4 linked regions of the Lepisosteus oculatus genome follow. The protein of the gene in region 1 interacts with the protein of each later gene in a biochemical or structural test. Links are inferred from orthologs where the notes say so. Each region holds a gene or a part of one and is shown in the gene's direction. Other genes may lie near its edges.

Region 1 (7,530 bases):
GTGTCTAAGGAAGCATCCAGTTAGAGAAAAAGATTTAATTTAACTACTCTGGGGCAAAATATATAAATATTTTTGAAACTACACAGACTTTTTTAGATTTGTAGAAATCTTCACATCCCATGCCTCCAAAAAGGTAATGTACTAGAACTTTACTGTGTAACTTGCTAAGATAAACAAATGTTCAACAAATTTAGAGAGAGGGATCACTGTGAAATAACTAAAGATGTACTACACTTAAAATAATTAGTGACTTCATTCATGAAAAAATATGCATGCAATACTCCAGGTTTTGACAATACTAGTATAACACATAATCAAAGACTGACATAAACAATTGAGCTTAATAATATGTTTAAATCAGATGCTTTCTGAAAAACAGCTGTACTACACACTACACAAACAACAACTCATCTACATAAGACAGTGACTACCTCTGCAATAAGACACAGAAATTAGAAGAGAAGTTATTTTATCTTCAAATGATATGTTCATTTTGTGAACATAACACTGAGATTAATCATTCTTAGTCATCAAGAGTTCATTGCACGAAATATGGTACTAAAGGAAAACCGTAAGGACAAAGAGACTACAAAAATCTGGAAACATGTTCCTGCGGGTTGTCACAGTGGTGTTGTGGTTAGCTTTGCTGCCTCCCAACACTGGGGCCCTGTGTTCAATTCCTGGGATGCTATATGTGTGGAGTTTGCATGTTCTCCACAGTCATGTGGGTGTTCTCCAGGTGCTCAGGTTTCCTCTCACAGTCCCAAAGACATACTGGTAGGTTAATTGGCTTCTGGGAAACTGACCCTGGTGTGAGTGTGTGCATGTTTTTTTCTGTGGGTGACCTGTGGTGTCCCATCCAGGGTGTACCCTGTCGTGCACCGATTGCTTGCTGGGATAGGCTCTGGCTCTCCCGCAACCCTGAATTGGAGAAAATGGATGAATGTTCCTTTGAATTGTCACTTGAAAACAGTTCAGTTCAGTTCATCCTTTTTCACTGTATGGTGCAGGAGTTTCCAACCCCAGTCACAGACAGCACAAAACCAGCAAGTTGTGCGGGTAATCATTAAATAATCATTTTCCCTAAACTGGAACAGTTTTAGTTGTGATCAACTAAACGTGTGTTTTGTTAAATAAATTAATTAAGTGATTGCTTGAAGCAAAAATCAGAATACCCTTCAGCACAAAAGAAACTGAAGATTGCTGAACCGAAGAAGTGTTTAACTTATCAATTGTTTAAGTTGGTGTTCCTTATTTTTAAAAGGGAGAGCCTAAAGCCTTTAGATACTCGGTTTCTCCAATGATTTTTATAGCACTTCCAAAACAATGCTTTGAAAATGTAAAATGATTTGCACGGAAGACTCACTTTAACTTAACAGCCTTGGTTACAGCATGTTGAGCAAATTACATTCATGCACATCAGCGAAACCAGTCTGGGCATAAGACTTGGGGATCCAACTTTAAAAAAATCTTTTTGCGTCAGCTACTCTGTACGCCTGCCTGGTGACTGACTCGGCGTGCTGGTAACACAGTACTCTGAAGTTATCACTCTCGCTTGGTGATTGCATGCGTATCAAACCGCAACGTGCACATCACCTGAAAATTCACCTGCCAATCTGAAAACACAGAATCCTAAAATGTTCACACCAGGAGACATGAGTGATTACATACGCACACAACAGTTGCATATATAAGTACAATTACTTGAAACTCTTAATGATCAATTTAAGGCGATTAATAAACAGTGTACTGTTTGCTGGCGGGGATTATGTGTATGTTACAAGTTTATTAATGTTAACAGTAATCCACCAACAGCTGGAATCTATTCCTTTGTATAAATAAAATAAATCTTACCTTGTACAAGCGAATTAAGGCGAATGCATTTTATTCAGGTATCAGTTCAGCCTTAAAAGATGTGCGTACACATACATGTTAAACACACATAGTTTGGTTAGCAACGCGGAAAGGACTTCCTGGAGACAGAGGGGAGTGCCTAATGCATCCTGGGAGTTGTAGTTTTAAACTCAGCCCGTTCATCCTGCCCAAGCTAAGGATGCGCAAAACGATCTTCGATCTCAGGCTAACTAAATGGCAGTAATGTAAACTATAATCTTTGAACACTAATATGAGATACTGGGACACAAAGAAGAACAGAAAGCAGGAAATACTGGACTCCTGGAGCCTGGAGAAGCTCCGTGAAGCTGCCCCCCCCTACAGACAGCACAAACGATTAAACCTACCTCATTCGTTAGTGCTGCGTTTGTGCCGTTTTGTGTCGCTGTAAGTAGCGTTTGTGCTGCTTTCGTTTCCGAGATATAGCGCCTTGTTTTTCGTGACTATCTACAAGGAAATTTACAGGTACCAACAATATCAGTACTTGAACTTCTGATTGTGATTAAAACAATGGGGGCAATTTTTTTCCTTAGTCTGTCTGGTCGGGTGGGGTGGATGTTTCAATATATTTCAATACAGCGCCTTCTTTTCCTGGCTGTGAAGTAATTCCGTGACGTACAAAACACCAAAGTCACGTCCACCAGATCCTTCAGTTGTGATCTTTTGATCAGTTGACCACAGACTTTGCAGCCTTTACACGAATAAACAGTCTTACATTTAGAGGGGAGTTACTATGTTAGTTCATTGGGTTAGGTGTTTTCTTTTAATTTTTAACCAAGTTCTCGAAAATGTATTGCTTGTGTACTCCACCAGTTTCCAAATTACCGCTGGTACAGCATGAGAGCCCATATTCACATTTTTAGGAATTAGTTTCAAGATCGATATAATTTTAAAAAATAAAAACAAAATTGAAAGCACAAGTATAATAATATAATGATCGTAGATTTTACATTTCTATTCATTTTTGAAGTACAAAGAAGCAGGTGTTTCCCCCACCTTAAATATAAGAATAAAATTGTTCAAATACCATGTATTAATTACAGGAAGCAGCGGAGACAGTTATATTGCAAATAACAAATGTATTTATTTCTAAGAGTTGGGGACATTGTGAATCAATAAAGACGTTAAAAAATAAGCCAATGTAGTTATTTTGCAAATAAGTAAAGCATTTTAAAAACAGATTCGCATTGACAGTAACAAGCCGATCCACCCGGCGCTGCTGGCTTGAACAGCTCTCAGACCCGTGATTGGCTAAACCCCCGAACAGCTCGGGCCGCGATTGGGTGAAGAGTGAGAATCGACACTCTGATTGGGTGAAGCGCCACAGCGCATATGACATACCCCGACAAAACGCACGCCCCCATGTCGCGACATGTAGCCCGCATATCGCTATAACATACCCCGGCAAAAATGCCCCGCCCCATGTTGCGACATGAAAGGCCCTATGCTGTCGCAACACAACCTATCTGGGTATATCATGTCCTGATATGAGACCTTTGATGTGACAGCGGTATCAGGGTGGCATGGAAGCAAGGCGCCAGTCGTGATATACGCTGCCGCGATATACATGCGATATACATGGGGTCCCTGTCATGACATGCTGCGGCCTGGTATGACCTGTCGCGATGGTATCCCACAGTTACGTGTTTGGCAAGAGCGTGTCATGGTAGGGAAAGAAAAGAAAGACGTGCCTTATAAACCCCCCCTCCCCATAGATCTTACAATCACGGTGATTTTACGTACATTACTATACAGGGAATAATGGGTATTTTTCACATCAAAGGAGGCTCATATGTTTATGGATGCTGATCGCCTTTAAAATGTTAAGGAAACGAGCTAAACCGTAACAGGGCGCTTGAAGTCGGCAGAAGGGGGGTCACTGTATGGTCACATGATCACCGGAAAAACAAGGCGCTATATCTCGGGAACGAAAGCAGCACAAATGCTACGTTCAAGGGCACAAACCGGCATAAACGCATATAAACAAATAGCACTAACAAATGAGGTGGGTTTAATCGTTTTGCGCTGTCTGTAGGGGGGCATCTTCACGGAGCTGAAAAAAGATCATTACATTTCTCGCACCCAGGCAAGCAAAAAGGACCTCTTGTAATTTTTATGCTCGTAAACAGGAAAGTCTTGTTTTAAAGCTGATAAGTGTTTGACACGCAATTGCAAATCGTAAACAATACTTATTTAAACATTGACTAAATCATATTACCTAAATACATGCACATATTGTACACAACAGTTAACGCGATATATAACAGTATATTATTTAACGCGACTGCTGCTCCCGTCAGTGTTTATCTGACATGCATGTTAAGGGATGAACTATAAAAAAGCGTAAGCTCTCCAAAACTGTACCCTCCTCCTGCTTTCCTTTGCCTGCTGGATATGTCAGCTCGCAGAAGCTGCTTTAGTCGCGGACTGAACTGGACCGGGGACCCGACATGTGGCGTGAGGGCTTTAAACCCGGCACTGCTGCTGTCCCCGGGGCCGCCCCGAGAGCCGGCCCCGCCTCCCCTCGTCTCCCGCCCCGCCCCGCTCCCCGCCCGGCACGGCGAGCAGCCCGCCCGCGGAGCGCAGGAGGCGTGATTGATGAGCGGGCTGGGCTGGGCGGCGGCGCCGTGCGCACTCGGCACATTGCTCGGCAGCGGCGGAGCCCTTCCCCGGAGCAGCGGGAGAGCGCCTGGCGGCGGCGGGCATTGCCAGCACAGGCGGCGGACAGCAGCAGCGGCCGGGTCGGCGCGCAGAGAGAAGCACACCGGTCAGCCGTGCTCCGGCCGGAGGATCGCGAGTTTGTGCGCTGGACTGCGCTGTCTCTGAGAGGTCTGCACTGCTCCCACCGCTCGGGAGAGCGGGTTTTTTGTTGGTAAGCAAATATCGTGCCGCTTTCTCAGCTTTTGTAATCATTCTCTGCTCGCAGCTAACGAAGCTTCAGATAAACATTATTCATTGATGCGTGTGCGCGGTATTTTTTCCCCTGCGGTTCTCCGGGCGTTTGGAGAGCAGCGGATCCGCCAAAATCAAAACAGCCGCCCAGCTCTACCGAGGTATAAAAGGCGTCGTTTGCATCGCTCACCCCGCTGATGGTGGGTTTTTTTATTTGTAAGATGAGCTTTCCTTTTCTATTTCTTGCAACACACAAAATCGTGCGAGTTGTAAAACGGCTCAAAAAAGCGGCGGTTTTCCCGAAGTCAAGCTGCTGTTGACGCGATAAAGCGTCTGTCTCGGCTGTGCTCCCATTAACCTGCAGAGCGCACGGAGCCTGGAAACTTAGTGCAGGATCTGCTGCAGAGAGGCGAAGGGAAAACAGCCACCGGCTCTCGGAAAGATGCTGCTGCCCGTTTTCTCTTACGGTTTGTAGAAAGGGCTCAGGTGGTTAATTGCGGCGAAACATTTACAGTATTTGCTGGTTTCCAGTTTGCTGCTTCTTGACTGCGGCTCTTTGTGAATCAAGTCTGACTAGGGTGTCGCCCGCCACAGCAAAACTGAAACCTCATTGTAGCACTGCGGAAGTCACATTCCTCCACTCAACATCAGATATATTTAAAAAACAATAATTTTACTTTATTCGCATTTTTTATTCTTTAAAGGGTGCAGACTATTGCGTTGTTGACACAAAACCATTTGTAACGCGAAAGTGACGCCTCCCTGGTCGCGCTAATAACAAAGCAAAGCGGGAACCCGTTTGAAATCGATTATTGTTGCAGAGATTTATAGCAGCGCTTGTATATAAACACGGTACCTGAATGTCATAGCTGAATGCGCGTCGATATATTGTATTTTTCAAAGTGGATTCCTCAGAGAACCGGAAGCTCATTCCGATGTATAAATCTGGGCGAATCCTTCTTCTGACTAGATATATAATTTTACACTATTTAAGATCTTGGACGATTAATGCATGCTTCAGCTTTTTTAACACTTATCCACCTCATTATTGTCCTGGAAAAGACGGAGATAACACCGTGTTTTTGAAAATCTAGACACATTTTATTGGAGTTTATACTAGTCCCAGGCTTACTGAATTTAGTTACCGTATTCCACCACCAGTAAGAAATCGTTCTTTAAATTGCAAACTGGAACTCGGATTTCCTTTTTTAACAGTAAGGAACCTTGAAGAAGTTCCTTTCTCTTGCATAAAGAAACGTGCTATGATAAGACACACATCTGACATCACCCTGGTAAAAGCCAGTGTATTGGCTTAATGCACAGTATTGTGCTGTGTTTTAAGGCTCAAACCTCATTTTTAAAGCGTGCCAGAACAGCATGAGCAGTCGCACTTATTGAGGTAATGATTAAGAACAGTTTCCGGATTGGGGAAAAAACGTAGTTAAAATTAGTTTCGCATTAACAATTTGTTGAGGGTGAAAAAAGCGGTCGATAATCCCTGTGGTTTCCAGTTGCACGACGATGGACACAAATTGTGCTGTAGAGATCTTTCAGAAAGACGTCCTTATAACGCATGGCCACATAACGCCCTCAAATAAATTATCGACTTTTATTTAATAATAAATGATTAATATTCACAAAGAACTTTCAGGATTATTCCTCAGCGCTTTGTAAATTGACCGTCGCGATATCCTGGGAACCGAAGGTAGCCGACAGAAAGGGACTCAAACTCCTGACAAGTTTGGGTGCAGTGTGCTCTGAGCGCTCCAGATGGGACGTGGACATGCACCTCAATGGCAAAAATAGTTCGGTAATAATGGGCCCCATTGTTTTGAGTACAAAACTGAAACGGGACGGGAAGCCCATTTGCTCTTGTGGGTGCCAAGAGCTAAATGATATGAGGTTCCCATTCAGCTATTCCTTAAAAAAGCCAGGGTGTCAGCTTCATCTCCATCAGAGGGCAGCTTGTTCCATGCTCAGGCAACCCTTTGTGTAAAAATGTGCCTCCTCTTCTTTAAGTGCATTATCTCATAGTTTCCTCATCTGGTTCATGTTTTATGAAGTTCTGTTTCGGCCAAGCAAATGGTACAAATGCAAGCAGCCCCTGGGTTTTGCAGTTTTTTTGATAACATCCAGTACCATCTGATGTGTAGGATTCTGGGGATTCACTTTTCTTTATACTTGAAAAACTGGACACCCTACAGTAAAATAATTGATAATGGTTTGGCTAACCTTAAACCTTTTATCTTTCCAGTATACAAATCATTTTTTTGTCTCAGGAATGCTGCAGAGATGTAACTAAAGCTTATTGACAAGACTGGTGACCAGAAGAATCAATAGAAATGTAAGATAAGAGCGTTGAAGTAACTCACATTAACAGATTTTACAATAACTATTCTTAATTGTGTCTATGAAATAGAGAGTGACAGTCTCTGGTTCATTGTATTTGAAGGAAGTTCTTGTTCTGACACAGGTTTAAAGACACATGTGTTATTTATTGCCGTGCCCCCGAAGAACTGTGGTTTAATTTCCCATTCCTGATTTTTATTTCAGCCAAGCTTGATGACTTAATTGAAGCATTAGCTAAACTAACAAATCGCCTGATCAAAGTCTATACAAGTTTTTTCTACTAAAAAGTTTGGTATTTTATGTTGCTTATGAAATTAAGAGCAAAAAGGCCATCTCAAACATTTTTTAGAGCTGAAAACAGTCCAGCAGTTCAAATTAATGCTCCTGATTCAAGGG
Region 2 (7,712 bases), on another chromosome or scaffold:
ATTTCCAGTAAAAAGAGTTCGGGAGCACCACACTGGAAATTCAACATTTTGGCTGAAATTAATTTCTTAAACCTAACTAGAAATAGTTGTAAAGAATAAAATAAGACTTCCTGACACATCTTAAACAGGTCTGCTTACGTTCTTTTTACTTCCTCTTGATTCCACACACCATTACTTAAATGTTAAGCTAGGTCCCCCTTCCCCTTAAACAGAAATATACGATAAGAGCAGATAATAAAATCCAGACTATAACACCTCTGTCTTTAAGTATTGCGGTTTCTTTTGGGTTGTCATGCTGGATGAGAGCACTTGTGAGTGGATGTTGTTTCTCATGCAGAGCGACACGAACAAGAACGACCCTCCAAGAACAAGAAACAGCCCAGAGAACCATCCTGCAAAAAGAGCCTCCCCAAACTCCCACCGGGGAACGATTTCAGGAACGTTGTCATCCCAGAATTCCACCACAGTCACATAAGCCACCAAGGAGATGGGATAAAGTGTAGTGATCCCCGAAATCCAGGACAGCACCCCTCCAAGGATGAGGAGCTTCTTCTTGACGTGCTCTTTGCCCTCTCCCAGATTTATGCCCTCCAGTCCAAAAAAGGCCACAGAGACACTCAGGAGCCCTGTTCCCATGGAAAAGATCATCAAGACCCTGGAAGCTATGACACCTGAGGGCAGAGACAGAAAGGAGTCAAAGGCTTTGCACTGCAGACCCACTTCGTCTTGGAAAATGCAGGTGTGCCACAGCCCCTCGTACCAGTTCTCCATTTCATTGAGCTCCGCGTTGAGGGTTTTCCAAAGAGGCAGAAAAGTGACCACACAGGTTATGACAAAGCCCACGAAGGAGACAAAAAAAGCCATCCTCTCCACTAGTTTGGAAGTCAACAACACCATTGTCTATCAGTTCAGCTCCAGTCTAGAGAACAGCTTGTGAGCTGCAGCAAGCACAGGCTCTGCAGTGGTAATGACCTGGTAGGGCTCCTAATCAAGTACCTTATAAATGCACCTTATAAATGCTGGGTAATCCCTAAGCTTGAGCATAACAACAGACATACTGTTTTGTAAAAGCGATAAATATCATTATAGGGAACAATGAGCACTGTTTTAGATGAAACCAGATATGTCCAAGAGAGAACGGACGGCAGTGCACACACAAGATGTTTTCAAGGCAAAGGAAACATGATCAAGTAAAGAATGGGGAAACTCAAAGAAAGTTGTGGGGAACGAATTGGTCTAAAACGTCAACATATAGGCTGTAAGTCATTTCATGTAGATCTTGTGTTATGAACTAATACTCATTAAAAAGGTTTAATTAGTGAATTAAATGGTATAATGTGTTTTACAGATTATACTGATAGCTACTGCTGAAGGTTCAGATTACAAGCCTTTCTATTAAACAAAAAACTAACGTCTCAGCTGTCCTCTGGATTAATGGTAAAACCTGATACAAAAACTGTGACGCCAAGTACTCCTGATATTTTTTATATTGTAGTATGCTATTACAGTATGACCTGTAATGTCTCCATTCAGACCACACATTTGCTTTTCGAGCCAAAACTTAGTGCATAATTTTTTGAGGCAAGCTTCCGAAATCAGATACTTTTAAGGATAACTATATCGGCTGCTCATACAATGAAGATTTATTGTACTCATACTATTATTTCGTTCTTCATAATGTCTTCGATTCCCCTCCCTCCCTTCAAAAGAGCGTAATTCTAGGTTTCAATCTTAAACAGCTGGTAAAACACTGTATAGTCTGCCACAATAATAGTCTGTTATCTATGTTCATTGAAACGGTTATACAGGGAAAACGTTGTCTCTAGCTCCCTCGTATGGCTTTTGGGAGTTTCATTTTTGCCCTTTTTTGCAACTATTTAACTTGTGTTTAATTGCTGTTTCTCTTAGTATTAGATTTTCTTGAGACAGACTTTGGGGTGGAACTGGATAATTAATTTCCAAAGGCTAGATGTCTAGATGTCTCCTGAATTTTATCAGATTTGTTGAGAGTACTTCTTCCCATTCTTCTTAAAACAATTAGATGAGTTCATCCATTTTTTGTTACATTTTCAAGGTTATTACTAAAATTATAATAAGGCATATTACTTTAGCCTTGTACTTAAATGGCAAATTTTCAACTGAGGTTATTTAGTGTAACTTTATCTCACTATGATATATGAGGAAACTGAAGCTGCTGAAAGGCACTGACTAGTTTCTGCTCAGAAAGGTCAAAGATTAATCTAGTCGTCTATCTTATTTTAAGCTCTATGATCACTCAGCATGAGGACCATTTTCTCTTAAAATACTTGTTTGCAGATATAAGATCACTTAAGATACGATTACTTTATTGGCCATATGCAATTTCTTGTATTAGGAATTTGTCTTTCCGCATACCCCAACTTGCTCTCCATGAGACACACAGACAGAGAGAGAAGCTTGGGGTCAGGGCGCAGGGTCAGCCATTTATACAGCGCCTGTCAGGTGTGCCAAGGGAAAAGGGTAGGAAAATTGACCCTGTGCGGAGGCAGAGAGAGAAAAAACTGGATTCCTTAGGCGAACGTAATCCAAATCGGGAGGCTAGAGCGAGGACAGAGATCAGGAGCAAGGGGTCAGAAATCCAGGTGATCACAAGAACAACGAGAGGTCGGACTAAGTTGCGAATAGGACGTGTAGCTTTGGCTGAGGAAACCTCAATAGTGAGAGAGGACAAGTTGCAGAGTGGGAGTTTAAGTAGCCAAAGATGAGCGAAGTTGATTAGTAATCGGATGCCCGTGGGAATGCAACGATGTCTGTGTGCGGTTTGTGACAGCACCCCTGAAGCACTTGGGGTTAAAGGCCTCGCTCAGGGGCCCAACGGAGTAGGATTCCTCTACTGGCCGTGGGATTCGAACCAGCAACCTTCCAGCCACAAGCACAGATCCTTAGCCACAGAACCACCGCTTTAATATGTTGGTGATTCAGAGCTTGTTTCCAAAGTCATACTTAATCTTGCACTTTGGGATTTGCTATGAAGTGAAGAAGTTGGTAAGGGGTCTGAGACATAAAAGGTCTAGAGGTCTTGCAGATTGTCATTGTTTATAAAAGGTGTCGGTTTGTTGTTGACTACTGTTCTGCATACTGAGCACATCTTCCTAGCACTTTGACATGCAAACCTATGTACAGAGCGTTCATGATGGCCATGATGGCATCTTATTGTCTAGCCTAATCATGCATTAATGTGCAGATTGCCTAGTTTGGTAATGTGCTTCTAGGCTGTTCTCCAAAATTAGCTTGGCAGTCCTGTGTGTCCAAGCATTCTCCTCTCAAAGATCTCATTCTGCATCATTTCGCATTGCATTGACCACACAACTGACCCTGGGAGTAAGGTTGACCTAATAGCACAACATTTTATCAATGTCAGTTAAGACCAACCGCTCTGCCCCTCCATCATTCAAACACGATTTGAGCATCCTTATTTTCATTCATTATTATCAAGTTTTGGTTTGGTTCTTTTTGGTAAATATACTTACTTAATTTTTTTTTTTGGAAAACTATCTTGACATGATCTGCTTAAGTTTTTTATCTCTCCTACCACTGATATTCCCGTGTGAGTGCCTCGTTTCATCCTTGCACACTGTGGTGAGGGGAGTGCTTCCCGGGTTAGACAGCACTAATCTAATTATGCATGTGCAGAACTAGATCGCCTATACTCTTTGAACTCAGGATAAAGATAATGCTGTGCTTCACTCACAAGTTTCTGAGGTTTTCTCTGTGGGAATTACGCTCCTGTCACACTGATCCATGCATGACAAGAAAAAAGCAAAAGCATGACAGCAAAAAACAGATCGGTAACACTATAAACATATTTGCAAAAAAAAATGTATTTACCATCCTGAATAACAAAACAACCATGCGGTGTCAATGCTTTAGAATAGGCAAAAAAGTGTAAGGGGATTGTTCATATCTAAATGGTGGTTTCACATTTTTTTCATTTTTTTTCTTTTGAGTAATTGATTTGCTCTGCCTGTTTATACCGTCTGTGCAATAAGAGCGTCCTTATCTTATAGCGGGAATAAGTACTTGTAACAAAATTATGACTATTACAAGAGGCTCATTATCTTTCCTGTCAATCGTCAGTAACAGTGACTGATACTGGAAGAGAGTTGATTCGTAAAAGATGACTCTTAAAATGACTCTACAGCCTTCATCTGTTCGCTATCTATTTGCCTTCAATGCAAATAGCAATTCTTCAGAGAAACAAATAATTAAGTCTAAATTTAATTTTAAACACATCACACTGAAAATGGTGGATACGTTTTAGCTTCAGCTGTTTTTCTGAAAAAAAAAACAGTATTTTACAGATGGGAGTTGTTTTACTTTTCTACGTATCAACTAGATTTAATGTTTATGTATTCAGCGTTCGATCATTAAACGAAAGCAACCTAATACATTAAGCTCTTCAAGTAGCATCTTCCCTGCAAAAGTAACACGTAAGATGCTACTTGAAGTTTATCAATGACAATTACATGCCTTCTCCGAATTCGACTTGCTCCCAGTGTGCATTGGACTTTGCCAGCTAACCGAATTGATTTCTGGGGTTTGTTGTCGTTTATTGTTTAGTCTACGCATCAATTGCAAATGGAACTTGAGACACATAAACTACAATACCCAGGGATCTCTTTTTCGCAAGAGGTGTGGCGTGGTAGTGTAATGGCTGTTTATTTGGTGTGTGTTGCGTGTTTTTCTTTTCTGCTACATTTGTAACGTTTTTTCCAGTAAAATAATGTAGCGTTTGCTACATTGTTCCGAAGGACTTGCTTCGTTTTTGTATTTACTTTTACCAGTCAAACAAGTTACATTCGTCTTGATTTTCTACTTAAAGTCAGCTTTAATTTTTTTTTTTTGCTTTTTGGTGCAGTGGTGCATCGCAGAAACCACTGTGTCTTGTAGACGTGGTCCCTAAAACTACGTTTATGAAGGGACCTTCGCTAGCACGACAGTAAATCCGTTTTTAATACTGGGGTTTCATTGACTGACCGTGTCGTGTTATGCGGCGGTTGAATGTCATGGTTTCCGGGAACAATGTCTTGCAAGTCTAAAGTCGCCCCGAGTGTTGATTTTGACCACAGCTGCTCGGACAGTGTCGAATACCTGACCCTGAACTTTGGGCCGATTGAGACCGTCCATCGCTGGAGGAGACTCCCACCCTGTGATGAGTTTGTGGGTGCTAGGTAAAACAAAATACAACTTTCTGTAAATCCTGTAGGTGCAGATCTTATTAAATGTCTAACGGTGCGGTTGCACTCTCACGCAGACCTCACAGAGATATGTTCGTAAAAAAAAATGTTTTTTTTAAGTATGGAGATTTGCTTTTGAACTGCAAAACCGTCATGTGCATGTGATTTCCGAAAGCTTCGCGAGTCTTGTTTTACACGGATTTTGATATGTGCATTATGATGTCAGTGGTGTATTTGAACGTACAGTGCTGTAAGATTTTTAAATTATATTCAGAGCTCATATCAGTTTTCTTTACTACATTTTACTGCAATGCTGCACCGCGTCTTAACTGAGTACAGTACCGTGTAATCATTCCGGGCTTTCGCTTCTGAATTTTGACAGGCGCAGTAAGCACACAGTTGTGGCCTACAAGGATGCAATTTACGTGTTCGGAGGAGACAATGGGTGGGTGATATTTAATGTGTCGTAATTTTAGCATGCGACTTGGGTGAAAGCAAGTATGAACATTTGTTTCGTTCCCAACAGAAAGAACATGCTGAATGATCTGTTGCGGTTTGATGTCAAGGACTGCTCCTGGTGCAGGTAATCCCTGCTTCTCCATTCCAGGAGAATGCGTTTATACACCGTTTATGTCAACAGATAACTTTTTTTCCCCCCTCCACGATGAACTTTATGACCCATTTTATTTTAAAGTGGCTTTTGGGTCTGCATCTTGGTTTGGTCATTTGTTTTTCTTCTTCTTGCCAGGGCTTTTACGACTGGTTCACCCCCTGCTCCCAGATATCACCATTCAGCTGTAGTACATGGAAGCAGCATGTTTGTTTTTGGTGAGGCAGCTTACCCCTCTATCACAGTTTATATGTTCATGATGCAGTATTGACGAGGCATAATTAAGGCAAAATGTGTTTCATGGGGGATTTAGTGGCACAGTGAGATCAGTTATGGACCTGGGAGGGCTGTCTGCATGATGTTTGTCTGTTCTGTCCCATGTTTGTGTGGGTTTCCTTCCACAATCCAGCAACATACTGGTAGGCTAATTGGCTTCTGAGGAAACTGGCCCCAAATGCGAGAGTCTTTCTGTCCTGCGATGTCTGTGTCCAGGGTGTCCCCTGCCTTGCTCCTGCTTGCCAGCATTATTGGAAGCAGTTAGAAGATGGATATTTGTTTCATTATTATGGTTGTTAAACAAAAAGCGTTTCCATGTCACACGGCTGTCTTATTAATAAACGTATTTGCCTTTTCTTCTGGTGCTGGTGATGCGTAACCGTACGGTCTCAAATTTCCAGGTGGCTACACTGGGGACATCTACTCCAACTCCAACCTGAAGAATAAAAATGATCTTTTTGAGTACAAGTTTGCTACAGGCCAGTGGACGGAATGGAAGGTAGAGGGAAGGTACAGTAGTACATCAGTTCAAAACTGTTATAAATGGAGCTCAAAATGAGCGTTTGGGAGGGAAGACAACATCGAAGGTCTGTCAACCTCAGCTGTACATCATTTGTAGTCAAACCTGACATCATTTTCTTTCATAAAGACTATAACTATTAGATGTAACCTGTTACTCTGCTTTGCAAACGTTTTTACATCCCCTCTCCACTGCATCTCCACCTGTGTTGCTGCCCCTTGGGGCCCCACTCCTCACTCTGCAAGGGGTTCCAGCTTCCTTGTGGCCAGGAGGTCAGCAAGCCAGGTTAAGCCGAATTGTGATGAAGACACTCTGGAGATGTTTCACACACTTAATTCCTGGGTGTTGTTGTTCCTCGTGAATGTATTTTCCGTGCAGTGTTATCAATCATTGTTCTGTTGATGTGTGTTCCCTCAAAGCCAGCTTTTTTTCTTTACATCAGCATAGCATTAAGGCATTCAGAGTTAGATACAAGAATGAAGTAATTGTTACCTTTAATGAGGCATGTAATTCTTGGCCAGATCAAAAAATCATCTTCATAAGAGAGAAAAACAATCGGGTTTTCATACATTGATTTAAGAAAGTAAACTAGTCATGCATTTTTATTTTGCCTTGCATAGAAGCTGAAGAGAGCATAATTCTGTTGTGTTTCTGAAACAGTATCACCTCTCTGGTTTCCTTTCTGCAGGTTGCCTGTTGCCAGATCAGCTCACGGAGCAACAGTGTACAGTGATAAACTCTGGATTTTTGCTGGGTATGATGGTAATGCAAGGTAAATAATTTTCATCTTGTCTTAGACCATTCGCGATAATTCTGTTTATAATATCTTTGTTTTTTTAAGGCATACACTAATTTATTTCTTGTAATACTCCAGGCTAAGTGACATGTGGACGATCAGCCTTCAGGACCGTGAGCAAGCATGCTGGGAAGAGGTTAGTTTGACATAAAGTGCTATTTTTTGTCCAATAATGTGTACAAAAATAAAGTGAAAGTGTAGATTTTGTTCATTACGGTAAAATGCCAGCGATTTAAGAGGAAACAATAAAACTGTTCATTCTATTGACTCTCTTGGCTCCGTTAAAGATTTTGT
Region 3 (7,270 bases), on another chromosome or scaffold:
TTTCCTTGATCTCATTCCAGGATTGCATTTCCCTTCTAAATGATATTTTAGGGGAATTTAATTTCTAGTTCCAATACAGCATGCAAATATTAATCATGATTAGAATCTTAGCTTTTTGGAAAATGTAATTTCAGACTATGTGTGTAGCATGTCTAGGAATGTGCAGATTATTAAGCCAGTGCTAGGATCTGTGTTATGGAAGACAGGTTTCCAGGAAGCCTAAATGCTGTAGGGCAGCACAGTAGCACAATAGTAGCATTGCTGCCTCACAGTACTGAGGCTCTGGGTTCAGTTCCTGGGGTACTATCTGCATGGAGTTTGTATGTTGTCTCCGTGTTCACATGGCTTTCCTGCTGGCGCCCTCTTTCCTCCTACGTGCTGGTAGGCGAATTGGTTTCTGGGAAAGCTGGCCCTGGTGCGAGTGTGTCTGTGTGTGTGTGTGTGTGTGTGTGTGTGTGCGCGTGCCCTGCGATGGACTGGCGTCCTGTCCAGGGTGTGTCCAGCCTTGTGCTTGTTGCTGGCCAGGATGGGCTCCAGCCCCCCTGTATTGGAAGAAGCAGTTAGAAAACGGATCGATGGAGAAGTACGGCCAGATTCGTTTTGTAGTCTCTGGATGAATATAAGGTATACGGATTATGAGTAGCAATCCTTTAGAAAACCAGTTACATGCTTGTGTTCCATTAATCGTGGCTTCCTGGGGGCACCAGAGAAGCACAGCAGCCCAGCTGTGTGCCTGTCCATTGGCAGAGAAAGGCATTGTAGTCTAGTCAGGTGGGGCGGCTTTCTCTACTCACAGCTGGCGCGACAGGAGGGAGCAGAACAAGAATGTAGGGTGGATGGGAAGTGGGATTCAAAGACCTGAAGGTCTGGTCTGGAGGTGAGAGGTACAGTAGTACAGTGTTCCTGCCGCAGCCTCTGGCATCAGGAAGCAGCCGGAGAGGAGTGCTGGGGCTCAGGCCCTCGGGCAGTCTCTGTCCCAGAAACGGAAACACTCTCGCCTGCCCGACGACACTGTGGGCCACTGCGGCGCTCCCCCGCGGCTCTGGGGTTTCCAAGCACTGCTCCAGGAACAAGAGGGCTCGTGAGGAGAGAAGGAAATATTTGCAAGGAAGGGCCCTGACGCCACCGGACCCACAGCGTGAAAGGCTGAAATACTGTAACGCACACACCCAGTAAGAAGAGGCAGCAATGCGATCGTCTGCCCTGCTGTGAAATGATACAAGACCTGAGAACAAGAACAAGAACAAGAACAATCAAAAGGAAACACTAAGCGTTCACGGAAATTGATGTTTCCAAAGCAGTAGTGTTTAGTAGAAACTTGTTTTCAAGTATGAAGAGCAGGATATTGATGACACTTTAAACATCGAGTCAATCTTGGAGAGATTTAAGGCAAAAAGACAGGGAAGGAGGATGGGGACGAGGCTGGTGGCAGGAGCCGGTACAGTCTGTGCAGCTGCGTTTCCGCGGAGCAGCTGCTGTAGAGTTCGCCGAGTGCCTGCCGTCACGGTGCACTAATCTCCCCCTCACTACTTCCTCCTCGGGAGAGGGGCAGAATACCACCAAATTAGCAAAACCGTCTTAGAAATCAAGTTACAGCAGCTGCACACGTGGGGCTGCCTTTCTCCTCCACAGATGTTCACCTCCACCCACTGGAGCCGGATTCGGAAGAAACGGAGGGGTGCACATCTTCTGGGGGTGTGGAATAACGGAGCCCCCGTTTTTGGTTCCAGTTTAAGCGTGTGGACTGGGCCCCGTGGTCTACAGATCTCTAGTTCCTGTCTTTGTTGTGTCTCGAGCTGACTGTGACTGGCAGTGAGCTTGGTGACCCCATCTGGCAGCCCTGTGGCCCCGCAGCTCCCAGCTGGCAGCCCGCTGAAGCCCAGCAGTGAGAGCCTGGCCAGTACCTGGAGGGGAGACCTACTGGGAGAGCTGAGGCTGCTGCTGGAAGAGGTGTTACTACTGTCTCTCAAATAAGGTCTTAAATAAAAACTTACATTTTGCCAGAATATTTTGAGAACTGCAAAGAACATCACTGGCACCAGTAAAACGTATATGTTCTACCCACCTCAGAATATTGAACTGAGGAAGACCTGCCTTCAAAAATTGTGACTCTGTTTTTCACATCACATCACTTTCAGTAACCACTTATCCCATTCAGAGTCACAGAGAGCCAGAGACTTATCAGGAAGCAACAGACACAAGGCAGGGTACACTGTGGACGGGACGCCAGTCCATCACAGGGCACACGCAGACACACACACACACTCGCCCCAGGGCTAGTTTCCCCAGAAGCCAATGAACCCACCAGTTTTTGGACTGTAGAAAGACACCGGAGCACCCAGAAAGGAAACCCTACATGAACATGAGGAGAACATGCAAGCTCCACACAAATCCCAAAATGAGCAGGTTGATTCCAGTTCAGTACTGTAGTGGGTAGATGGAGGAAACGCGACTTACAATATCAACATTATTAGTGTCTTGTAAATAAGGTCATTGGGAAAGAAACAGATTTATTTTATTTATAAGAGAGTCCTTTCATCGTGATGTAAAGGAGACAAAGCATCCTGCTAACCCCTCGTGACCACAGTGTGACTTTATACAGAACAATGACCAGAGAATGACTATACCCACAATATCCAGCTATTCTTAAAAGCTGACGGGTCATCTCCAGTCAACCCCTGGGTCTACTGTATATGAGCTGTGGACACTAGCAGCCGAAATGCCCATTCATTGCCCTGTAGCTGAAGCTGGTGCGTCAGCTTGCCATGGAGGTAGAACATTCACTGGTTACAAGCCAGACTGATCCCAGGATCATCCAAACAGTAAGTGAAAAAAAAACACAGATAATCAGCTTCAAAAACACGGGCGGGTAGCTTGTTCCAGACTCCCACCGGGTGTCCCTGGACAAGGGCGCAGGTGATAACAGCAGCCGCTGGACACGGGGGTGCTGCTTATTGGAGTGCGGGTGTTTTGTCCCTCGCCCTCCCTGTTCTCTTCCGAGTCCCATGTGCATATGTTGTCTGCAGTTGCGGTTTTTTTTTTCTTCTGCATTTCAGAAGACTGCCCGCTGGGTCAAATGAAGCTTCATTGCCCCTTATGGGTTCAGTGTAAAACACTCAGACCCCAGTTTGGCCCCAGTGCAGGAGCAGGATGGGAAATCGCACCCCTGCGATTGTTAAAATAAAGAAAGCGCGCACGTGATTAAAACCTGCTCTGATCTTAGCTTTCCCTTCTGTTGTACGTGGTGGGTGTTGGATTAGATGCCGCCAGAAAGCCACGTTTCAGATTCCCAGCACAGAGACATGCTAATCAAAGCTAGAGTTGCTGGCATTGAAAAAGCCCAGAAAAGGCAATTCTGCATTCGTAGAGAGAACGACTCCAACACGGGAACCTGCAATTCCGAGTAAAAGCCATTAATCTTGCATCCCACCCCCCCCCCGAAAAAACAAGGATCATCTCCTCTCCAGACCTAATCCCTTTTCCCAAATCAGTCGATACTTCCAGCACACAGAGTTTCAACACAGGTAATAAACTCAGGGCTGTTTTCAGTGCGCCCAGATTATGTCACTGGAGTAATCCCTCATAAATAAGAAATGTGCAAGCACTTGTGATGCAGCACAGTTAAAGGCGAGGAACAGCCCGTGCTGCTGTATAGCTCGTTTTAAACGGGTCTTTGACCGGTTTGAAGGAGCTGCCTGGCTGAGATGCGTTATCCCGAAGAGACCCCAGTTCTGCAGACAACGACCTTCCGTTTCTGGCACCACCCACGGCCACGGAGGAGAAAAACAGATCCCCCGCACTTCGGAGAAACGCGTGTCACGGAAAGAAAGCTCAGGGGAGGGTTTAGTGGAGACCATAATTATCCAGAAGCTTCGGCCACAGTACTTCCCACTGTTTATACGGTCAACAGAAAACACCGCGTCGCTGGGTCCCGAGAGGAGAGCCCATTCACGCTTTCGTGCCCGAACTGCTAGAAAACGACGCGCTGCCCCGTTTTTTTGTTTTAGAGTAAATGGGATGGGACGGGTTCGACCACGTTTAGCAGCGACACCATTCCCTTTGCACCAGGGTCCAGCTCATGAGAAATGGCTCTTTCCTCTCTCTCTCTCCCCCCCCCCGCTTCGCTCGGAACTTGTCGTCTGCTCGGGTCGAGAATGACGTCATGGATCCTCTGCCGGGCCGGGGGGAGGGAGGAGGGGGCGGGGACGGGGCGGGGCCTCCGCTCGGGAGGGGGCGGGGCGGGGCCAGCGCTAGAAAGTAGCAGCCGAGCAAGAACTACAGAGGCGAGAGAAGCAACAAGCGCAGCAATGCTCTTTTAGACGCCCCCGTCCGTCCGAGACAGGACTACGGCTTTCGCGGACACCCAGCCCCGTCGGACATGAAGCAGAGGGCGCGCAGTCTCGGGTCTTCTCCGGTGTAGCGGGATCCCCGTCACCAATGGTGTACCTGATGCAGTCCGAGGTGCACAGCGTCTGCTCGGGGAGCCCCGATATGATGTTTGATGCCAGCGCCTGGAGGATACGCAGCATCTGGGACGGGGTGAAGCTGGAGGTGGCCGGCGAGGCCAGCCCCGTGGTGCTGCACAGCTTCACTCAGCTGGACCCCGACCTGCCCCAGCCGGAGGTAAAGCGCTCCGACCTCCCTGGGAGGTGTGCTCCGTGAGAGCTGGCGCCGCTCAACATCGCTCAGTAACAGATTGCTTGAGATTCTGGGTTGTTTTTTTTTTATTTTAACGAGGGCTACGGCGAATTGCATACTACATTTACGAGCTGTGGGTTTGATCTGTGCTGGAGAAGCCAGGCAGGCGGGGTTCTCGGAAAATTGAATCCCGTGAGCTGTGGCTCTGCGTGAGAGAGGAGCTTTGCGCTGGGGGGGTTAGTGTTGTGTCTTTATCACCCACAGCGACCCCCACAGTGTTTGTAAATACGAAGGCTTTCTCGCCCCTTTGCTGGCACGGCTCTGGAGTAATGCGGGGTAATAAACCGGTGTCGGGGAATCTGTGGGTCGCGCCTGGGGTCGGTACAGTGTACAGCACACCGTGCCCTTGCCCAAAGTCCGATGTGGCTGCAATGTCAGAGGCTCAGAAATGTTAGTATGAGGTGTTCTGCTCCTATTGAGACGTGTTTCCGTTTCGGGTAGAAAATGCGTTTTTTTCCTCTCAGACGTTTCCGTGATTGTCAGAGGATAAATATGTACTCGAGACGAGTGCAGCACTGTACATTGCTGTGTAACGTGATCACCAGGCAGGCTTATTAAAAGGACATGGCAACAGAGGACATAACTGGGACTTCCAACGAGCTGGGAAGTTTACTCCCAGTTTTACTAGAAGTGCCGGTGCTCCCTCAAACTGTCTTCGGAAGCATGGTGGAATGTGACACGAGTTTCTTCCGTCAGTACAGTCGTGCAGCTGCTAGACACTGGCGAGGAGTTCGGTGTGTATTGTAGTGCTCTAGTCTTGAAGGGAAACAGCGCAGCCTGTTCTGGACTGAACTTCAGGATATCTGATTGGATATCCTGGTGTCATTGTGGTTTTGATTTGCAAGAGAGGTAGGGAACGGACACTGCGCACCTCACCCAGGGTGCGCCCTGCTTGGTGCCTGTTTCTTGCTGGGGTGGGCTCCGGCCCCCCATGACCCTGAATGGGATGGTAGAGACCGATACAGAAGGAGAGTTTACCCAGCAGTCGGGCGCGTTGTCCTTGCAATGCATCTTTGACTTTGACGCAATGTTATCCTGGTCACCTAGCTCTCTGATTGAATTAAATTTTAAACCTCACTATTCAGCGGTTGTGTTGCTTCATTGTGGGGCTGTTGCTAATTCCCATGTGTGGCACTAGGAGTGCCGGTGCCGTCTCCCTCTCTGGGGCTGCAGGTTTCGGACACTGTCTTCCTCTGTCAGCTGCCCCCATCCCAGCCTCGCAGTGTCCGATTGTCCGATGACTAATTCACCCACTCGGATTGCCTTGCAGTGATCCAATTCAGTATTCTGGGGGCTCTGCAGTAATTCAAAAGGCAAAATATTGGAAAAAGGCCTGGTTTTTTAGTCATCGTGGTGATTAGATTCAAGGGGCTGGAGTTCTCTTGCCACTTTACACTTCATTGTGCAGCAGGGTAATTTTTTACAAGCCATTGTCTTTGAGTGGCAGTCAAGAGTTAATGCGTGACCTGGCCTGTGTGCCCCTTCAGATATTTCTGAGCAATGTTGCGCCCTAATCTCTTTGCAAAAGCCTTTTATTAACTGTCGTGTTGAACATGGATTAACAGTGAAGGAGATCCTGTGATCCTGGTGGCTGCCTGGCAGATCTGAAGAAAACCAATCAAAAAACTCCACTGAAAAAAGATGATTGGATTCTCTTTGAATGGGCAATGTAGTGACACCCCTTGAAAAATCTAGGAATAGTTCACTTGACTATCCTGCTTTTATCTTGGCGCTGATAGCAGGTTTGCCATTGTCGTGCTGCTGATTTCTGCCAGGGATACCTGTGAGCCACCTGTGAGGGTTCAAATCTCATCATTTGTCCGCAAAGAAAGGTCTACATCTACAAGGCTGCACATATTTTTAATTCCACCTCCAATGACCCTCATTGTTATAAATATAAACCTCTTACACCTATTAGAAATATTACATTTAATTTCTTCTTAAAATACAGTTGTCAGTGCTCCTCTGTTTCATTTTGTTTCTATGCATGGAGTGGAAAAACAAGTGAATCTTTTCATCAAACATAATACAGTCTGTATTTGGTCTCTTTGAACTAATTGACCCCTACATCTCTCTCTTTATGGGGAAACAAATGCACTTTGTGACCCTCAACGATGTTGACATATCCTATTCATACTCATTCAGCACGTGGGGATTTCAGATCAGGAGTGGTCATTTTGTCTGTGTTTGAAGGATGCATTTTTGTACTGCCTAGTCCCTTTGATACAAGGGACACTCGGCAAAAATCTATATTCTCTAATAAGAGAAGTGAATAAATAATCTAATTTGCTTCTGTATTATGTAAAAAGCTTTTAAGATAAAAGGAGGACACGGGCAATAGGAGCAAAGACAGGCCTTATTATTGACCATCAAGCACATCGTCTAATGGGCTTCTGTTGTTCAAGCTAATCAATGGTTATGGCTGTTATTCATTTTAATTTAATTCTGAAAGGTTTATGTTCTGTCTCTGTTTATGCGACTGGTTTGGTACATTTTGGCTTTATATTTTCCCTGTATTGAGTGAGCTTCTTACATGAGCCTTGAGCGTCTGTCCTAGTGAGGAGCAGCTGGA
Region 4 (6,848 bases), on another chromosome or scaffold:
CTGTGTGAATTCAATTTTACTTTTTTCATTTTTTAAATGATTCAAAAAGCTCATGAGCTTATAGAAATTATTGTTATATAGTGATCAGGGTGCCTGCTCGTTTCAATATACCCTAGTCTTAAAAACATGCTTTCTGTGGTTTGGTTTTAGTATAAATGGTGATAAAAACGTGGTCATTCTGAAAATCCCCTCATGTACAACATCTTCCTTTCACTGGCCTGGTATATGTTTTTGCCTTCCACCGGCTCTCACCTGCGGTGTATACACAGGTATATTTATATGAGTATATATACAGTATTTAATACATCTTCAGAATCACATTCAGTTAAATACTCTCCAACACAAAATGATATAAATTCTGACACATGGTGAGCCGTGGTGTAGCTAAGTGAGCAGAGCAGCCATGTGTGATGCAGTTCGCTTCAGGCAAGCGCAGATAGTGGCTGCTGTGTGTTGTGCTCTGGTTACTGTAAGCGCAGGACCTGTTTTGGCCCGATCCTGATGTTTGTGAGTGTATTCCCAGCTCCGTGGCTTCCTGACCGAGGTACTGATTGACCAGCTGCCCAATCTGGCCGAGCTCCAGCGCTTCCTCAGCCAGCTGGCCATCACTGACCCCGCACCCCCTAAGAAGGACCTCATTCTGGAACAGGTAAAGCACCGCATTATAAGAACTAGTCCCCTACCAAGCAAGTGAGTGACTCCTTTCTGCTTGACAAGAAGGCATCACTTCACCTACTGTGTTCTTTAAATCGCGGTGATGTTTCTTCCTTGCCTGTTCTTTTTTTATTTCACCATGCCTTGATCTGTAGATCCCGGAAATGTGGAATAATATTATGAAAGAGAACTCTGGGAAGTGGAAGGCCATTGCTAAGTACCAAGTGAAGCAAGCATTCAGCCCCTCTGAAGAGGACCTGAGGCAACAGGCACACAGGTAAGGCAGAGGGGCAGGAGTGTGAGGACTTTGCAGAGGGAGAGTGCGGCCTACACAAACATGCCTCAGTTTATGCAGCAGCATATAACTGTGACCTGCCACTGAGATCTATAGGGGGTAGTGCCCTAGCAGAATAAAAGTACAATCAAAGCATTTGTCTCATGTGTAAGAAAGGGCATCAGCAGGTACTTGTGTGATAAGGCTTTCTCCTTAAACACTTGATTTGGGTCTGAAAGAAGAATGTTTAGTAACAAAGCTGTTCATTGTGGTGGTGATGGTGGTGGTGGGGAGCGGTGTTAATTGGGATAAAGGCATGTGCTCTCTTGACCAATTTACCCCCTGGCACAGCTTGCTTACTAAATATCTGGAAATATTCTGAAACACAACTACTTCCCCTTTCAGAGCCACATGTAGTATTTAATGATCAAGTCAAAATATGACACAGATGCTTACTTTATTCTCCCAGGCACTGTATTTCTTACCCCATTAAGGACATTTGTATTTATTAAGGGCTGCTTAAAAAAAGCCTTAGTACTGTATTAGTTCAGGTGGGTAGCTGCGTCAGCATGCGTAGGCTGCAAAGGAACAAGTTATAGGTTTATTCCCTGCTGAAAAAAAGAAGAAAGAGAACACAATGTTTCGGCCGTGGAGCCTTCTTCAGGTGTGAGAGAGACAGGGCAGTCACTCCCTGTCTCTCTCACACCTGAAGAAGGCTCCACGGCCGAAACGTTGTGTTCTCTTTCTTCTTTTTTTCAGCATGGAATAAACCTATAACTTGTCCCTTAGTACTGTATGATGTAAATCTGGAGGAGTGCGCAAAATCCTTGAGAAGCCACTCACCTCGAAGATGCGGCGTCTGAGGTGTGGGTAGAGAGAGATGTGTCCTTCCTCGCGTCACCTTGCCCTCTCTCTCCTGTCAGGCTGGCCCAGACCTACAGTCTGGATGTCATGGAGAACCTCATCCCTGACAAACCCAAGTGCGGCTCCTGTGGCTGTGAGGCCGCCAAGCGCTGCTCCCGGTGCCAGAGCGAGTGGTACTGCCGCAGGTGAGACGCCCCGTCGGGGGAAGGCGCAGTGGGTTCACATCCTGTAGCAGCCCGCGGGCCTAGACAATCCCAGAGTGCTGTGCAGAACGAAGAGCAGCTGCAGCGGACCCAGTGTGACGGTGTCAGCATTTAATACGAAGGCCCACAGTCATGACAAAACCCTCCGGCAGTGTGAGACTCCATTCAGTGTTTGTAAATAATTATTGGACAGTATGAAAATGGGTGGGCAGCCAACCTTATGTGGCTGTATCCCTGCTTCAAAATATTTTAGAAAGTAGGAAGAAAGAAAATTTGGCTTTTTTTCTACTGCATGGTTTTGTAACACTGAGTTTTTTTTTATTTCCTCCCCTCCCCCCCCCTTGCATGTCTGTTGCAACAAAAAACAAATGCAATTAGAATTGGCACCGGCCGAAATCTTTTAATCTGGGTCCCCTAGTATTTTCTAGACTCGCAAGGCTAACCTGTTTTGTCTGCCTGCAGGGAATGTCAGGTGAAACACTGGCCGAAACACAAGCAAGCGTGTGAGCTGATGGCCGAAGCTCTTCACAGACTCCGGGGGGACTTGGACGTCAAGCCGTAGGACTCGAGAAGAGTCAGCAGTGGGTCTAACAGGAAAGACAGCCCAGACTGAACTGAGGTTTTAAAGCACAGGGTCCCAGCAGTCTGCCTGACATGCCCTTCAATATACTGTCAATGTCAGTGCAGTGCTAAAACTAAATGAGTGGTGACGTTGGACAGCTATTGGTGTTCTGAGAAAATTCATCTATTGTTGCACTGGTTTCAGCTAAAACTCCTTTTAATAGTGTCTAAGTCACATAGCTTTGATTGCTGTACATTTATTAGTAAACTCACAGTAGCACAATAACCACAAGCTCACAAAAATAAAAACAAATGAGGGCGTTTTTGCAGCAGAGAATTGGGGCTTTACTTGTGATCCAAGGCTCCCTGCCAAAGATTAAATGCTAAACAGACACTGTGCAATTATCTACTATATCATGGTGTTCAACATATCCCTCCCTCTTTGGCTGATCAAGATGTGTTATTTGTATTCTTTCCACATGGGAACTGTCTGTTGCTTACTCGTGTCAAAGGACAGGAACATTGGCTCGCTTGTGACATACAGTACATGACATCTCTTCTAAAGATTAATACACACGTCTTCCTTGCTCAGATGTCAGCATGTAGACACATGGCAGACATACCGGTTAAGAAATGGGAGGAGAACATCCATCCAACCCATTTGTCTAAAAGATTCTCAGTGGTTTAACTGGGTAATATACCGAAGGCCATGTTTGCGCAGTGATGGAGAGGCTGTTGCACCCTCTGCCAGAAACCACTAGATGGCCAATGGCAGTAGTTTATTGTCTGTTTGCTATTTCAGATTAAAAGCTCGTCCAAGATCTTCTCTTCTTCAGAAACTCTGGCCTAGAAATACAAACTTGTCTGATTGTGTCTGCGTGCGTTGCTCTCACTGGAAGCAGAACGATGGTGTTACCTCACTCTTGCACATCTGGAAAGAACTGTTCATAGTCTCGGGAGGAGCATCAGCGATTGCAGAACCAACCAGAGGACACAAGAGCTCTACACCGAATCCCTTGGCCATGGTGTAGCATGATTGTGTATATATCTTTGTGTATGTTGTGATACTACAATGTGTACAGTTTGGTGTTTACTACACCCTAATGGAACATGATTACCTGTAAAACATCTCCCTGTAAAAAGAAACTTCTAACATTGACAAGTAATAAATAACTTTCATGCACTAGTCAGGGGAAGTTATTTAACTTTTGCATCTTCCTGAATGTTGTTCTCATTCCCTCCAAAAAAAATCTGTTTCGTTTCTGACCGCCAGTGTTTATTCCAGTATTACAGTATACGGACGGGGCGATGTCTTTCGCTATAATTTGTTGTGTGTGTTGGGTCTTTTTGCTGACACTTATTTGACACCCCTAATCGTTTATTATAGCTGGTTTCAGCGTGTAAGCGGTAAGACGTTGCAGGACTAAACCCGTTACCAGCACCAGCCCGGGAATAGTTAAAAGTACAGATCGTGTGCCCAGCGCCCACCCTCGGGTACAACCCCAGGACGAAAAGTAGGACTTGATGCTTAAGGTGGAACCTCGTGGAAAACCCTTTGAAACATCATTGCTTTTGCAGATGGCTTGCAGTCGACACCAACAACCGGGCTCTGCGCGGTCTCCGTATCTCGCACATGAAGGCTTTGAATGTTCCCCCTTCTCGCTTTTTTTTCCCTTTCGCAACACGTTGCTGAGACGGGACACCACACCTCCTCAACCCACTCTCTCTACGGAAACTTCAGCGGATTCCTTCCAGCATAACAGCGCCCGGCAGATCGCGCCTCGCCTCTCCGTGTGACCGCCGCGACAGCTGCGCCCAGCTCCGGGCTGGAGCACATGAAGACGGCTGCTTGTCTCTCCGGGCTCGTCCGTGCAAGGTTTCGACTTTTTTTTTTTCGGCTGTCCTGCACGGAGGAGAAAATAAAATCACATGAGCGCGGGCAGAAAAAGGGGGCAGAGCTTTCGGAGGGAAAAAAAAGGGTCTCTTTCGTTCGTGTAGCGTTCTTCTGCTTGCATCTACTTTTCGCGAGAGAAAAACCGTTCGTTCTCCGTGTTTCAAGACAATTACTCTCTGTCCTCCTTTCAAGCACCAGCTAGACAGTGCGTGGACAACCGAAGGACCGTATGAAGCTGCCAGACTTTCTGAAAATTCCCTGGCGGTGTTTTAAACCGAGAAGCTCGTCCTGCTACAGCGTAGCCGCTGACAAGCTGCGCCTGTGGTCGCAAACGCGTTTAAGGAGTTAACTCGCTTCGCTTGCTCTCTCTTGTTAGCTGGGGAAATGGACTGCGTTGAATAAAAATACATCTGTGGCAAACTGTGGACGACTGTTATCTTTTTTTCTTCTGCTCCATTGCGTCCTTCCAAGGTTGCCGGCGACAAACACGAACTCTTTTTTGTTTACATAATAACGGAGGATTAGTATTCCAGATCACGAAGGGCATTTTAAATTGCTGCAGCGTTTGAAACTTAACAGTTTTTGTTCCACTGTAGCCACGCCTGTGTGTCGGTGACCTAGATCGAGTCTTGCCTTGGTAAGTGGTGTGTCCCAGCTTACATCTTTACATGCATTATTTATTTTTCGAGGACGACGTGAACGCGACGTGTAATTTTTTACAAATCACGACGGTGAAATATATATATTTTTAAAAGGCTGTTGGAAGTTCGTGGGTTACCCAGCGCTTGAAAACAAGCGGGCTTAGTCTCGGGCAGGCGATGCACAGAGAGGTCTGAACTGATGCTGAAGACTTCACACTATGAAAGCGGGCACGTTGCCGGGGTTTTACTTCGGTCAGGGTTGTAGGTACAGTTGCAAATCCCCCAAAAATCACAGCTCCAGACAGAACGTTATATCCGAGCGTAAACGATTTTTTTTTTCCAGGGAGGAGCAGAAGTGCGATTCATTCCGAAAAGTAGAAGTGGTCGTTCCGCATTTTCGGGTCAGCGTGTTGTCCTGAGGAATGCCCCAGATGGGGACAGCTCCCGGAGGCATCGTGAGATAACGTCCCGCAGCTTCACCCAACTGATTCCCTCCCTCCCGAAGGGATCATTGATTTCTTTTCGCGTTTTACACCCCGCTCAGCGAGGAGAGAAAAAAAGTTTTTAAAAAAATTTATGACCCGTAGTTTAAAATAATGTGAGCGCCACAAAGTGGTTTTTTTTTTTCTCTCGTGATAAAATTCACATGAACGAAGTGTAGCTCGATCTATCAGCGCGGTGTCCCGGGGTCCTCATACCGCCCGCACGGCGGGGAGATGGGGATGTTTCAGCATCTGCGCTTGCCCTTTAAAAATCTGGGATGCGCCTGGCGGCGTTCAAAATGCGTTTCCCACGGAGGGGGCCGCTTCTGTCCGGAAGAAAATAACCGGATTGCACCCAAGCGGTTAAAATAAAATAGTCGAAGCTCTGATAACGAAAATCTCCAGAGTGCGCGGTGGCTCCGTGCATCAATAGAGGCTTTACATTCACTGTTGGAAGCTTTTTTTTTTTGAATTTGCATTTTTAAAAATGTGTGTGTTGGGGAATAAACGTCTATACGTTTTTATACTAGTGGCGAAACTGAACGGTTGTTTATTTTTGCACCAGCTTGTGAGCATGCTTGTCCTACTTGTACAGCTCGGACAGGCTCAGCCATGGGCGCCCCCCAGTGTGGGGCGTGCGTGGCCCTTGGAGGACTGTCACCCCCTCTTCTGTGCTCTCGGCTTCCCGGTGGCGTGGGCGTGGGCGTGGGCGCGGGGCGCGTGAAAGACGCGCGGATCAAGTCGGAGTTTCCCGTGAGCGGAGCGGCGCGCAGGTGGCACCGCGGGGCGCTGAGACGTCAGAGCACAGATCAGCAGGGCGAGCGCGATTAAACTTCGACCTGTTCAGCACTTGTTTTGGTTATGTCCCAGGGTAAATATTTTCTGGACTAAGTTGCAGACTCGTATTAAAAAAGAAACCAATATTGATATTTGTTTGGATGAAAAAGATGTTATGTTAAGTTTCAGCCCCATCGAAAACAATATTACAATTTCGTTTGTAATCAATTTAATGATTATAATGGCGCGTTATTATATACATAACATGAAGTGGCCTGAGAAGAACCCTTTGGGCATTTTAAAATGGGTGTAAGGGGGTATTTGCAGACTATTTCAAAGTGCAAAAATATGAAAGCGGTGCGGACCCTATTTTTATTTAATTTGTTTAATCATAACTTGAATTAATGTAGTAATATGCACCCCTGACTATCTTTTTGTCTTGAATTGTTATGTGTCCTCTCGTTTGTATTGTAATTTTTGTTATTCTGTTAAGCATAA

The links.
Region 2: of the proteins of GTPase HRas (region 1) and lztr1, one has a biochemical effect on the other in vitro, tested with the Homo sapiens proteins (3 studies listed by BioGRID, with this or other methods). The link is inferred for Lepisosteus oculatus from reciprocal best matches to the Homo sapiens genes HRAS and LZTR1.
Region 3: the proteins of GTPase HRas (region 1) and ral guanine nucleotide dissociation stimulator form a complex in vitro, tested with the Homo sapiens proteins (4 studies listed by BioGRID and IntAct, with this or other methods). The link is inferred for Lepisosteus oculatus from reciprocal best matches to the Homo sapiens genes HRAS and RALGDS.
Region 4: the proteins of GTPase HRas (region 1) and rassf1 form a complex in vitro, tested with the Homo sapiens proteins (2 studies listed by BioGRID and IntAct, with this or other methods). The link is inferred for Lepisosteus oculatus from reciprocal best matches to the Homo sapiens genes HRAS and RASSF1.

What each region holds. Positions count from the first base shown.
Region 1 is NC_090716.1:17,135,943-17,143,472, reverse strand, and holds the start of GTPase HRas, read left to right. Parts: upstream 1-4,516; 5' UTR 4,517-4,765; intron 4,766-7,530. UniProt on the Homo sapiens protein: Involved in the activation of Ras protein signal transduction. Ras proteins bind GDP/GTP and possess intrinsic GTPase activity.
Region 2 is NC_090717.1:5,506,347-5,514,058, forward strand, and holds the start of lztr1 (leucine-zipper-like transcriptional regulator 1), read left to right. Parts: upstream 1-4,698; 5' UTR 4,699-5,040; coding exon 5,041-5,210; intron 5,211-5,598; coding exon 5,599-5,661; intron 5,662-5,742; coding exon 5,743-5,799; intron 5,800-5,964; coding exon 5,965-6,044; intron 6,045-6,503; coding exon 6,504-6,612; intron 6,613-7,310; coding exon 7,311-7,394; intron 7,395-7,496; coding exon 7,497-7,554; intron 7,555-7,712. Other genes in the region: cldn26 (putative claudin-24), read right to left, coding at 247-897. UniProt on the Homo sapiens protein: Substrate-specific adapter of a BCR (BTB-CUL3-RBX1) E3 ubiquitin-protein ligase complex that mediates ubiquitination of Ras (K-Ras/KRAS, N-Ras/NRAS and H-Ras/HRAS).
Region 3 is NC_090719.1:15,006,279-15,013,548, reverse strand, and holds the start of ral guanine nucleotide dissociation stimulator, read left to right. Parts: upstream 1-4,256; 5' UTR 4,257-4,437; coding exon 4,438-4,623; intron 4,624-7,270. UniProt on the Homo sapiens protein: Functions as a guanine nucleotide exchange factor (GEF) activating either RalA or RalB GTPases and plays an important role in intracellular transport. Interacts and acts as an effector molecule for R-Ras, H-Ras, K-Ras, and Rap.
Region 4 is NC_090699.1:64,638,066-64,644,913, reverse strand, and holds the start of rassf1 (ras association domain-containing protein 1), read left to right. Parts: upstream 1-3,834; 5' UTR 3,835-5,087; intron 5,088-6,356; exon of another isoform or gene 6,357-6,444; intron 6,445-6,848. Other genes in the region: zmynd10 (zinc finger MYND domain-containing protein 10), read left to right, coding at 524-649, 810-931, 1,852-1,977, 2,458-2,557. UniProt on the Homo sapiens protein: Potential tumor suppressor. Required for death receptor-dependent apoptosis. Mediates activation of STK3/MST2 and STK4/MST1 during Fas-induced apoptosis by preventing their dephosphorylation.